Linked DNA regions of Saccharomyces cerevisiae S288C. The protein of the gene in region 3 binds, or shares a complex with, the protein of the main gene of each other region. Each region holds a gene or a part of one and is shown on either strand. Other genes may lie near its edges. A codon is read from its position in the direction of its gene.

Region 1 (4,709 bases), on a different chromosome or scaffold from region 3:
AACCTTTCCACTCGGGAAAACCACTCGTCATGTCACACGGAGAGTTGGCCATGAACTGGCTAATGGGATGGTCTAAGGCGACCACTGTAAGAAGAACAAGAGATGATGCAAGCTAAAGCAAGCAGGTCTCAAATAAACGCTACTTGTGCCGTTGACAGCTTGTTTATCTTGCACATGGCAAGGCCATCGCGTCCCTGCGTCCCAAGAGTGCGCGGTATACGTGCGGCCCTAAACGAGGCGGTCTCTGTTCTCTGATATATTTCTTTTCTTTCTTCGTTGTTTTGTTTCGTGTTTGTTGAGCTCCTGCCTTCAATCGGCATCGTCCTCTTGCGTACGTACATAAAATCGTTACAGCTTTGTTCACATGGTGAAAACAATAGCGTTTGGTACGCTCTTTAAATCTTGGCACTTGTCACTTACGCTCCTTTAAACAAAATCAAACATACAAATATACGGATACGTACGCACACAGAAGCATAAAAGCACAAAAGCACATAAGAAGACCACATATAAACTAGATTATGTCCTTTGATAGACAGTTGACCGAAGACCAGGAGGTCGTCCTTAAGCAAATTTGGACACACCTTTTCCATCTGTGGCAAGTTCCCGTGGATGGAACTCATATTTTCCCTAATAACTCCCTCCACTCCTCGTCCACCCCTGCTAAGAAGAAGAAATCATCCTGGTTTAGCAAGCTTCAGTCCTCAGACCATACACAGGACTCCAGCGAAGCCGCTGAAGCGGCACACCTCTATGAAAAGGGCAAGATACACAAGGCACTAGCCAATCTAGACCCGCAAACGACCAAGAAGCAGTTCTGGCACGATATCAAGAATGAAACTCCAGACGCCACCATTTTGAAGTTTATCAGAGCCAGAAAGTGGAACGCAGACAAGACCATCGCCATGTTGGGTCACGATTTGTACTGGCGCAAGGACACTATTAACAAGATCATAAACGGTGGCGAAAGAGCTGTGTATGAGAATAACGAGACCGGTGTCATTAAGAACCTGGAATTGCAAAAGGCCACCATCCAGGGTTACGACAATGACATGAGGCCAGTCATCCTTGTGAGACCTAGATTACATCATTCTTCCGACCAAACTGAACAGGAGCTGGAAAAATTCTCCCTGTTGGTCATCGAGCAATCAAAGCTTTTCTTCAAAGAAAACTACCCCGCATCCACCACCATCTTGTTCGATCTGAACGGGTTCTCCATGTCCAATATGGACTATGCCCCCGTCAAGTTTCTAATCACTTGTTTTGAGGCTCACTACCCGGAATCTTTGGGCCATCTACTTATCCATAAGGCCCCTTGGATCTTTAACCCGATTTGGAACATCATCAAGAATTGGCTGGATCCGGTCGTCGCGTCCAAGATTGTTTTCACTAAGAATATCGACGAATTGCACAAGTTTATCCAACCCCAATACATCCCTAGGTATCTGGGCGGAGAAAATGACAATGATTTGGATCATTACACTCCACCAGATGGCTCTTTGGACGTCCATCTGAAAGACACCGAGACTCGCGCTATGATCGAAAAGGAGAGAGAAGAATTGGTCGAACAATTCTTGACTGTCACTGCCCAATGGATTGAACACCAGCCATTGAACGATCCAGCATACATTCAACTGCAGGAGAAAAGAGTACAACTTTCCACCGCTCTTTGTGAAAACTACTCCAAGTTAGATCCGTACATCAGATCAAGATCCGTTTATGACTACAATGGTTCTCTAAAAGTTTGAGCCAAGCCACGCGACGCTCCATACTGTATAGACCTTTATTATAAAAACATCTATTTCTTTATATGTCCCTCTATCTTATTTTTCTTTTACTTTTATTTGTATAATACGCGAAAAATTATAGAATCATTTATTATCAAAAACAATCAACTATGAAATGAAAAACAATACGCCTGCTAATACGGTTCGCCCTTCAATTTTTGTTTTTTTTACATGAATGAGTCTTATACTAGATGATATCATCCTCTCACTAACGAATGCTAACGAACGAACGCCACCACAGGCCCTTAAAACCACTTTAAGCCTGCTATACGAAAAATCAAAACAATATGGTCTTTCTTCGCCGCAACTACAAGCACTTGTAAGGTTACTCTGTGAAACTTCCATAATAGACACAGTTACAAAAGTGTACATCGTCGAAAATTGCTTTTTACCTGATGGCTACTTGACGAAGGAACTTCTTTTGGAGATTATTAACCATCTCGGTACGCCAACGGTATTCTCTAGATATCGCATACAAACGCCTCCGGTCCTACAATCTGCGTTGTGCAAATGGTTAGTGCATGTTTATTTCCTATTTCCTGTACATTCAGAACGAGAACACAATATATCCAGTTCTATCTGGTTACATTTATGGCAATTCTCGTTCTTACAGAAGTGGATAACTCCCCTGGTTATTTGGCAAGCCACGACGCCCGTTGATGTCAAACCTTGGAAGTTGTCTATTATCAAGAGATGCGCTATGCATCCAGGTTACCGGGACGCTCCCGGTAGTGCGACGCTTATTTTGCAACGATTTCAATGTCTCGTGGGCGCATCCAGTCAGATTACTGAATCAATAATTACCATCAATTGCAATAGAAAGACTTTGAAAAGTCATCGAAACTTAAAATTGGATGCGCATTTCCTATCCATTTTGAAAAGAATATTATCCAGAGCACATCCCGCTAATTTTCCCGCTGACACTGTCCAAAACACAATTGACATGTACTTGAGTGAAATTCATCAATTAGGTGCTGATTCTATATACCCACTTCGACTTCAATCACTTCCAGAATATGTTCCCTCTGACAGTACGGTCTCTCTTTGGGATGTCACTTCATTGGAACAATTAGCTCAAAACTGGCCACAATTGCATATTCCCAATGATGTAGATTACATGATGAAGCCATCTTTAAACAGCAATGTTTTACTGCCGCGAAAAGTCATGTCTAGGGATTCTCTCAAACACTTGTACTCTAGTATCATTCTCATTAAAAATAGCCGCGATGAGTCGTCATCACCATACGAATGGTGCATTTGGCAATTGAAGCGATGCTTTGCACATCAGATAGAGACTCCGCAAGAAGTTATTCCCATTATTATTTCGGTGTCCTCAATGGATAATAAACTGTCTTCTCGCATTATTCAAACGTTTTGTAATTTGAAATACTTAAAACTCGATGAGCTTACGTTGAAAAAGGTTTGTGGCGGAATCTTGCCATTATGGAAGCCTGAACTAATCAGTGGTACAAGGGAATTTTTCGTTAAGTTTATGGCCAGTATTTTTATGTGGAGTACACGAGATGGTCACGACAATAATTGCACATTTTCTGAAACTTGTTTTTACGTTTTACAAATGATTACAAACTGGGTTTTAGATGATAAATTGATAGCACTCGGGTTGACACTACTGCATGACATGCAAAGCCTGCTAACTTTGGACAAAATCTTTAACAATGCTACTTCAAACAGATTTTCTACGATGGCTTTCATCAGCTCGTTAGATATTTTAACTCAACTGTCGAAACAAACGAAGTCGGATTATGCGATCCAATATTTGATTGTGGGCCCTGACATCATGAATAAAGTGTTCAGTTCGGACGATCCTTTGCTATTATCAGCTGCGTGCAGGTACTTGGTTGCTACGAAAAATAAATTGATGCAATACCCGTCAACAAACAAATTCGTTCGGATGCAGAACCAATATATCATGGATTTGACAAATTATCTTTACAGGAATAAAGTTCTGTCATCCAAAAGTTTGTTTGGAGTCTCACCAGATTTCTTTAAGCAGATTTTGGAGAATCTTTATATCCCAACTGCAGACTTCAAGAACGCTAAATTTTTCACGATAACTGGTATACCAGCGCTATCCTACATATGTATTATTATTCTAAGACGACTGGAAACGGCCGAAAATACCAAAATAAAATTCACCAGTGGGATCATAAATGAAGAGACGTTTAACAATTTCTTTCGAGTTCATCATGATGAGATTGGCCAGCATGGTTGGATAAAGGGCGTTAATAACATTCACGACTTGAGAGTAAAGATTTTAATGCATTTGAGTAACACTGCTAATCCATATAGAGACATTGCAGCATTCTTGTTTACATATTTGAAGAGTCTCTCAAAGTATAGCGTTCAAAATTCTTAGAATATGCATCCACATTTATATACATATATATATATATATATATATTATAACTTCCAAAAAGGAGATTGGACAATTTATATCTATAAGGCATTAATATTTAACTATTTACAAGCACTAGTGGTAAATTCATGGCGTCATATGATTACTTGTGGAATAAGAAACTAATCACATTGAATTTCATGACAAATTTTTTGATTTTTTTATTCATCAAATACATTCTCCCTTCCGGTAAGTTCATCAAAGTTTCAATAACAGCATCCCTACCTAATTTCAAAAAGTTTTTGTCAGCCGTGTACATGAATTTGACTCTGCCATTTACCACAATTTGAAACTTTTTGAATTTGGACTCAGTAGTGCGCTCAACTTCTGGCCAGCGGTATTGGTTCCATTCCATTTGGGAGTTGATCATCTCTGCAGCTTCTTCTGAAATTGACGGGACAGCAGGATATATAACGGTTACCAACTTTTGTAAATTCTGTACTATCATTTCATTCCTTACTTCACCTTTTTTCAATGCACTTTCTAAAATATTGGTTAGCTTCATA
Region 2 (2,990 bases), on a different chromosome or scaffold from region 3:
AGGAGTAGACATACAAATCAACACAGATGTTTTGCAGACTATAGATTACTACTTTCAGCGTAACAAAAGTGAACATGACGAAATTATGTGCGTCCTTATTTCTAAGTTACAGCCACTACTTTTAAAACGCAAAAGCAACTTCGAACTCAAAGAGCAACGTAATCTTGGTCTCAAACCCACGCTTGGAATGTCTTTGAAAGAAGATAACCTAATGCAGGCGTGGGTAAGTCAGGGTGGCTTGAAAGGCATTCCGTTATTCTACGTAATTCTGTTACATTTGAAAAGGAGAGACATATCTACGAATCTTTCTTGGATTATTCCAGGAATTCTAAACATACTAGATGATACCACTGATATAAGAAGAATTAAACTTCGTGGTGTTCTGCTCCTACAGACGCTATTAAATCATACCTTTATGAACGAAACCAATGACTCAAAATGGATACAGTTCTCTAGTACTGGTTTATTTCCACTGTTCGAAAAGACGCTAATCAATATGTGCTATTTTCTCCCTCCCTCATACAATGCTGATGAAACAATAGCCATATGGCGGGTCGTTTTCCCAACGATACAGTCGTTATATAAAGTAGAATTTTTGGACAATTACACAAAGTATCAATATCACCTGGAAAAGTTCATGTCAGAGATAATCTTGCAAAACATAATTCCTAGGGCTAGCCTTGCATACGAAAATTTGACGTTATACGCATTGGAATGCACAATGAACATACTGAGACTTCAAAGAGAAGGGTCTGTTGTACATCTCCAGAGGCTGATTTTTGTTTTAGGTGAATATATTGTACGAAATCCTTTTTACACAACTTTTCCAAAACTTATTTCAAAAACTCTTTCAGTGGTAAGTACTCTCATAAAGGTTTGCCCGAATGAAAGAATAGTGGCTCACAGATTCGACATTTTATCATTAATTCTAGTTACATACGATAAGTGTTCGCAAGAGGATGCGTTGAACGAATCAATACTACAACAATGTAAGGAAACGATAAGCTGGTTGCTGAATTGTGACTGCGCTATGGGTGAACAGTTATCGACTCTATCTAAGCAACCGCGGTTTCAGTTACTTTTTGAGTTCTCATAGGAAACAGACACAGACACAGACAAATGCATATACATATATATATATATATAACTAGACAGTATATAAACAAAAAGAGTTATTTGCCCTTTATGCTGAAGAATCCCTTTTAAAGAAACCTTGGACATATATTAAAATATTCATTTGCTTATTTACAGATATATTAAGGTAAAGAGAATAATGACTCGGAGAGATAAATCGGTTTCATATTAACGGGTGTTTTGCAACCCGTTCACAATCCTGATATTAGTATCCAAAAACCGATTCACACAGTTAGACAAACATTGCTCTTCTTGCGAACTTAAATTAGAATCATTGACAGACTCAACACATTTTTTGAAGCATATATTAGTGAATTGATGGATTGACATCTGGACTTTTTGTTTGGAGTTCTCTCCCTCCAAGAAAGTAGCAATTTCCTTTTTGGAAGTGTCATCAAGGGAGGCCAAATCAGACGTTGATAGAGAAGACATTCTTTGTTGTTTGTAAATTTGTTTTCCTTTTTACCTCTTCTTCAATACTTTCATATAAATGAATGTTTCCATCAATTTTTACGTTAGTTAATAACTAACCGTTCGCTTTGATATGCAGCGTAACAACAAACAAGACGCATATGACGACAAAGAGGGACAAGAGCAAACGGCAGAAAGTCTCACAAAGGAAACATGGATGTTGAAAAGGATGTCCTGGATGTCTACATAAAGAACCTGGAGAACCAGATCGGAAACAAACGATATTTCTTGAAGCAAGCTCAAGGTGCCATCGATGAGATCACGAAGAGATCTCTGGATACAGAGGGTAAACCGGTCAATTCTGAGGTCTTTACAGAGTTATTAAGAAAACCCATGTTCTTCTCAGAGAGAGCTGATCCTATTGGTTTCAGTTTGACATCGAATTTTTTGTCTTTGAGAGCCCAAAGTTCCAGTGAATGGCTCTCGCTTATGAATGATCAATCAGTTGATCAAAAGGCCATGTTATTGTTACAGAATAATATTAATAGTGACTTGAAAGAGCTGCTACGAAAACTGCAGCATCAAATGACCATTATGGACAGTAAGAAGCAAGATCACGCCCATATTAGAACACGAAAAGCCAGAAATAAAGAGCTTTGGGACTCACTGGCGGACTTTCTCAAGGGTTATCTAGTACCGAATTTGGATGATAATGATGAATCAATAGATAGCTTAACGAACGAAGTCATGCTGTTAATGAAAAGACTAATTGAGCATGATTTGAATCTGACATTAAACGATTTTTCATCTAAAACGATACCAATATACAGATTATTACTTAGGGCTAATATAATAACAGTAATTGAGGGCTCTACAAATCCAGGGACTAAATACATCAAACTAATAGATTTCAATGAGACCAGTCTAACTTAAGTAATACTTCGTAGTCAAAGTGTGCTTCGTAGTGGTGTGAGGATGTTATAAAGCGCCAAAATTTAGAAGATCATAATTTGGCAGTAACCGTAGATTATTCACCAAAAAGCTCTTGACTTCCTCTTTTAATAGACTGTCGTTAAAAGGTCCTTAGTCCAGAATAGTATATAAAAAGTGTTGTATGGTAGTGGTATACCAATTTTGCTATGAGTAAAAAATTATCGTTGGAAGAGAGACTCTCCTTGGCAACTAAGAAAGGAAGAAAGAAAAATAAAAGGTCAACGTCAAATTTGTCGTCTCCATCGCCTGTGGTGCTGTCAAACAATGAACAAGAAAGTGCTCGTACATCCATTGATGATGCGGCTGCCGGTGTGGTGTCAATTGACAATGCTGAAAACATAGATGATCCTGCGGTACGATCAGAAAGCACTGTGGAAGGCGATACAGGTAAGGCAGATTCAATCGCTGTCGATGACGTGGTGCATCCCGATCACAATAGGACTGATTGCTTC
Region 3 (3,028 bases):
GTATAAAAATCATAAAACAACTATATAATTAATTATAACTCAAAAACTTTTCCAGTAAATGTCTGTTTTTTGGGCAGGAACAATGGCCAATAGCTCACGTACTGTTCGTGGGGGCCTTAAGCCTGGTATCTAGGCTCTGATTTCCAGAAGAAAGTGACATCGATGAATGCACTCAAGAGATTTTATGTGTTGTGAATATGTATATATTTATTTAGAAAAAAAAAAAAAAAAAAAAACCAAAATCATATACCTTAGGCATCCCGTTTCCCTCTTCATCATTTTTGTCCCTTTATATCAATTTTTTTAGACTTCATATAATTTTGTATCAACTGTACCCTACATCCCTTGGTATTCAAAATCTTGATATTACTACTTTTGCCATTACTGTCAGTGATTTGTTTGTTTAATATGAACTCCGTCAAGTTTTGCTCATTCAAGAAATTTGTTGTCTCTTCTATACTGTTGAAATTAAACTCACTTTTAACAAAATCTAAATTGACCTGGTTATAACTCTTACAAATTATGGTCAAAAATATCAACTTTTCTAGATTTAAGAATGAATTAATTAGACATTTTTCAAATTTGTGCAGTTTTAGGTAGTTTTTCATGAAGTAGTGATAATTGCCGACTAGTTTCATATCGCTCAACTCAAATATCATTTTGACATGTTCGTCCTCCAAGATTTCCGAAGAGCCATCGTCTATTAACTTAAGTTTTAAATGAGAAATCGACGGATAGTCTTCGGTTAACATCGAATACAAAACAGAATAGCATATAAATTCGGAATAAGATTTTTTTGGTATTGTAGGGTTTTCGAATAACGCCATAATCCTATTTTGACATTGATTAAATTCCCCAAGATCTCCGTTCTCCAAGGCAATACGTGCATGCGTTTGGTACACTTTAATAGTGAAAGAGTTCTCGATCATTTGCACTCTTAGGTCTTGTCTCATTGATTTAAACTGGTCGCAAAGGTAAGTATAAGTGGCTGTTTTAGATTGGTATTTGTCCATTAACAAGCAATACATTTTTTGTAGAATATTTGGGGGTCTGATCAAGTCAGGATTAGGCTCTGAAGTTAGTCTCAGATAAGATTTCTCTAGAGTTTGGCAACGCCCTACCACATGAATCTTTTTGTCATATTGATGAGATTTGCTACTAATGGCATTTAGGTTGGCAAAGTCTTCATTCAAATTATCGTTACTATTCGTCGTCGCTGATGGTCCCTGACTGAATCTTTCTGCCCTTCTCTTTCTTCTCTCTAATTCATCACTGCCACCCATTTCAACTTTCCATCCCGATGCCGAACCTACAGCACCATGCCCTACTATATTACTGTTGCTCATTACATTGCCGGATACCCCGTTAGAAAGGGCTGATGCCTTCTTAGATACTCTTGGTAATTTCTTTTTAATGTTTTTGTTCATACGTTTTTGTAATCCCGGAAGCGGTGTTACCATCAAAGGGTTAGAAACCTGGTTGACGTTGTTCCAAGATAAACGTGGTTCTGGCAAAGGCAGAGAAGGTTGTTGATTGGCAATGAAATTATTATTATTGTATGTCAGAGAAGGGAAAGATCCGGCGTAATCTAGGGGCCTATTCAGGCTTTGGCCGAATGGTCCTCCTTGAGATGAAGCTTCCCTGTCCTCCGTGGTATTGTTAGTAAAGTGACCGTAAGGATTCTGCATAATGTTATTGGAAACTCAACTACTCGCTGCCGAACGGTTCCTACTCCTTGTATTCTATGGTTTCTTTACGAGACAGCCAAATCTCTATTTTTTGTCATGTTCAGTCCTTTTTTACTCAAAAATTCCAAACCGTGAAGGATGATGCATGTTGACAATAAATGATAGCCGTCATCACATACAGTGTGCAATATCTAGATACTTCTAACCATTTCTTCCTGTCGTGGGGAGTTCATACCATTTTGACAGATGACAAACAGTAGTGAAAAACAATGGGAAAGAATCCAGCAATTAGAAAAGGAGCACGTGGAGGTATATAGAGAGTTGTTGATCACGTTGGACAGGTTGTACTTGATTAGAAAACACAATCATGCGGTAATATTAAGCCATACTCAACAGCGCCTCTTGGAAATTAGACACCAACTTCAAATTAATCTTGAAAAGACTGCTCTTCTTATTAGACTGTTGGAGAAACCGGACAATACCAATGTATTATTCACCAAGCTACAAAACCTCTTAGAAGAAAGCAATTCTCTGGACTATGAGCTCTTGCAATCGTTAGGTGCTCAATCTTCATTGCACAAACAGTTGATTGAATCAAGAGCAGAACGCGACGAATTGATGTCAAAACTGATTGAGTTATCGTCGAAGTTTCCCAAACCAACTATACCGCCAGACGACAGTGATACTGCTGGAAAACAGGTTGAGGTAGAAAAGGAAAATGAAACGATACAAGAATTGATGATTGCTTTACAGATACACTCCGGATATACAAACATATCCTACACAATTTGATTTTTATCTTCTAATGCTATTTATATATTCAAATAATTTTAATACTGACAACGCTAATAATAATAGTTACTTAATTAAGGTTTGAATCTTCGAGAAAAAAAAAAGGTAGGAAAATTAAGGAACTACTCACAAATTCAGAGAGAGAGAAGGGATAAAAAAATATCTGCCAATGGAGGTAACTTCAATGTTTCTCAATAGAATGATGAAGACCAGGACTGGTCTTTATCGCTTATATTCAACCCTTAAAGTTCCACATGTAGAAATCAATGGCATAAAATACAAGACCGACCCACAGACTACCAATGTTACAGATTCAATAATAAAGCTTACCGACAGATCATTACATTTGAAAGAATCACATCCAGTAGGCATTCTTCGCGATCTAATTGAAAAGAAATTAAACTCAGTCGACAACACATTTAAGATCTTTAATAATTTCAAGCCCGTGGTAACCACAATGGAAAACTTCGATTCTTTAGGGTTTCCTAAGGATCATCCTGGAAGATCAAAATCTGACACATATTATATAAATGAGACGCACCTACTGA

The links.
Region 1: the proteins of MCM16 (region 3) and CTF3 are in contact, whole or in part, in a cryo-EM structure (PDB 7L7Q), measured with the Saccharomyces cerevisiae proteins. Residues at the interface, in NP_015371.1 of Saccharomyces cerevisiae: Val20 (codon at 1,992), Arg24 (codon at 2,004), His47 (codon at 2,073), Arg51 (codon at 2,085), Leu52 (codon at 2,088), Glu54 (codon at 2,094), Ile55 (codon at 2,097), Arg56 (codon at 2,100), Gln58 (codon at 2,106), Leu59 (codon at 2,109), Gln60 (codon at 2,112), Ile61 (codon at 2,115), Asn62 (codon at 2,118), Leu63 (codon at 2,121), Glu64 (codon at 2,124), Lys65 (codon at 2,127), Thr66 (codon at 2,130), Ala67 (codon at 2,133), Leu69 (codon at 2,139), Ile70 (codon at 2,142), Arg71 (codon at 2,145), Leu73 (codon at 2,151), Glu74 (codon at 2,154), Lys75 (codon at 2,157), Pro76 (codon at 2,160), Gln87 (codon at 2,193), Leu90 (codon at 2,202), Glu91 (codon at 2,205), Asn94 (codon at 2,214), Asp97 (codon at 2,223); in NP_013485.1 of Saccharomyces cerevisiae: Trp303 (codon at 2,869), Pro304 (codon at 2,872), Ser342 (codon at 2,986), Leu345 (codon at 2,995), Ile346 (codon at 2,998), Asn348 (codon at 3,004), Ser386 (codon at 3,118), Ser387 (codon at 3,121), Met388 (codon at 3,124), Asp389 (codon at 3,127), Asn390 (codon at 3,130), Pro422 (codon at 3,226), Leu423 (codon at 3,229), Gln467 (codon at 3,361), Thr470 (codon at 3,370), Asn471 (codon at 3,373), Leu474 (codon at 3,382), Ser491 (codon at 3,433), Thr494 (codon at 3,442), Leu495 (codon at 3,445), Asp496 (codon at 3,448), Phe499 (codon at 3,457), Asn500 (codon at 3,460), Asn501 (codon at 3,463), Ala502 (codon at 3,466), Arg506 (codon at 3,478), Met510 (codon at 3,490), Ile513 (codon at 3,499), Ser514 (codon at 3,502), Asp517 (codon at 3,511).
Region 2: the proteins of MCM16 (region 3) and MCM22 are in contact, whole or in part, in a cryo-EM structure (PDB 7L7Q), measured with the Saccharomyces cerevisiae proteins. Residues at the interface, in NP_015371.1 of Saccharomyces cerevisiae: Gln8 (codon at 1,956), Arg11 (codon at 1,965), Ile12 (codon at 1,968), Gln13 (codon at 1,971), Leu15 (codon at 1,977), Glu16 (codon at 1,980), Lys17 (codon at 1,983), Glu18 (codon at 1,986), His19 (codon at 1,989), Val20 (codon at 1,992), Val22 (codon at 1,998), Tyr23 (codon at 2,001), Glu25 (codon at 2,007), Leu26 (codon at 2,010), Leu27 (codon at 2,013), Thr29 (codon at 2,019), Leu30 (codon at 2,022), Asp31 (codon at 2,025), Arg32 (codon at 2,028), Leu33 (codon at 2,031), Tyr34 (codon at 2,034), Leu35 (codon at 2,037), Ile36 (codon at 2,040), Arg37 (codon at 2,043), His39 (codon at 2,049), Asn40 (codon at 2,052), His41 (codon at 2,055), Ala42 (codon at 2,058), Val43 (codon at 2,061), Ile44 (codon at 2,064); in NP_012669.1 of Saccharomyces cerevisiae: Lys5 (codon at 1,771), Val7 (codon at 1,777), Leu8 (codon at 1,780), Tyr11 (codon at 1,789), Ile12 (codon at 1,792), Leu15 (codon at 1,801), Glu16 (codon at 1,804), Gln18 (codon at 1,810), Ile19 (codon at 1,813), Lys22 (codon at 1,822), Arg23 (codon at 1,825), Phe25 (codon at 1,831), Leu26 (codon at 1,834), Ala29 (codon at 1,843), Ala32 (codon at 1,852), Ile33 (codon at 1,855), Ile36 (codon at 1,864), Ser40 (codon at 1,876), Gly45 (codon at 1,891), Lys46 (codon at 1,894), Pro47 (codon at 1,897), Val48 (codon at 1,900), Asn49 (codon at 1,903), Ser50 (codon at 1,906), Val52 (codon at 1,912), Phe53 (codon at 1,915), Glu55 (codon at 1,921), Leu56 (codon at 1,924), Leu57 (codon at 1,927), Lys59 (codon at 1,933).

What each region holds. Positions count from the first base shown.
Region 1 is NC_001144.5:877,761-882,469, forward strand, and holds CTF3 (Ctf3p), read left to right. Parts: upstream 1-1,962; coding exon 1,963-4,164; downstream 4,165-4,709. Other genes in the region: CSR1 (Csr1p), read left to right, coding at 522-1,748; leucine--tRNA ligase NAM2, read right to left, coding at 4,307-4,709. UniProt on the Saccharomyces cerevisiae protein: Component of the central kinetochore, which mediates the attachment of the centromere to the mitotic spindle by forming essential interactions between the microtubule-associated outer kinetochore proteins and the centromere-associated inner kinetochore proteins.
Region 2 is NC_001142.9:675,547-678,536, reverse strand, and holds MCM22 (Mcm22p), read left to right. Parts: upstream 1-1,758; coding exon 1,759-2,478; downstream 2,479-2,990. Other genes in the region: TTI2 (Tti2p), read left to right, coding at 1-1,096; protein transporter TIM8, read right to left, coding at 1,303-1,566; SGM1 (Sgm1p), read left to right, coding at 2,685-2,990. UniProt on the Saccharomyces cerevisiae protein: Component of the kinetochore, a multiprotein complex that assembles on centromeric DNA and attaches chromosomes to spindle microtubules, mediating chromosome segregation and sister chromatid segregation during meiosis and mitosis.
Region 3 is NC_001148.4:654,865-657,892, forward strand, and holds MCM16 (Mcm16p), read left to right. Parts: upstream 1-1,934; coding exon 1,935-2,480; downstream 2,481-3,028. Other genes in the region: THP3 (Thp3p), read right to left, coding at 276-1,688; MSF1 (phenylalanine--tRNA ligase), read left to right, coding at 2,665-3,028. UniProt on the Saccharomyces cerevisiae protein: Component of the kinetochore, a multiprotein complex that assembles on centromeric DNA and attaches chromosomes to spindle microtubules, mediating chromosome segregation and sister chromatid segregation during meiosis and mitosis.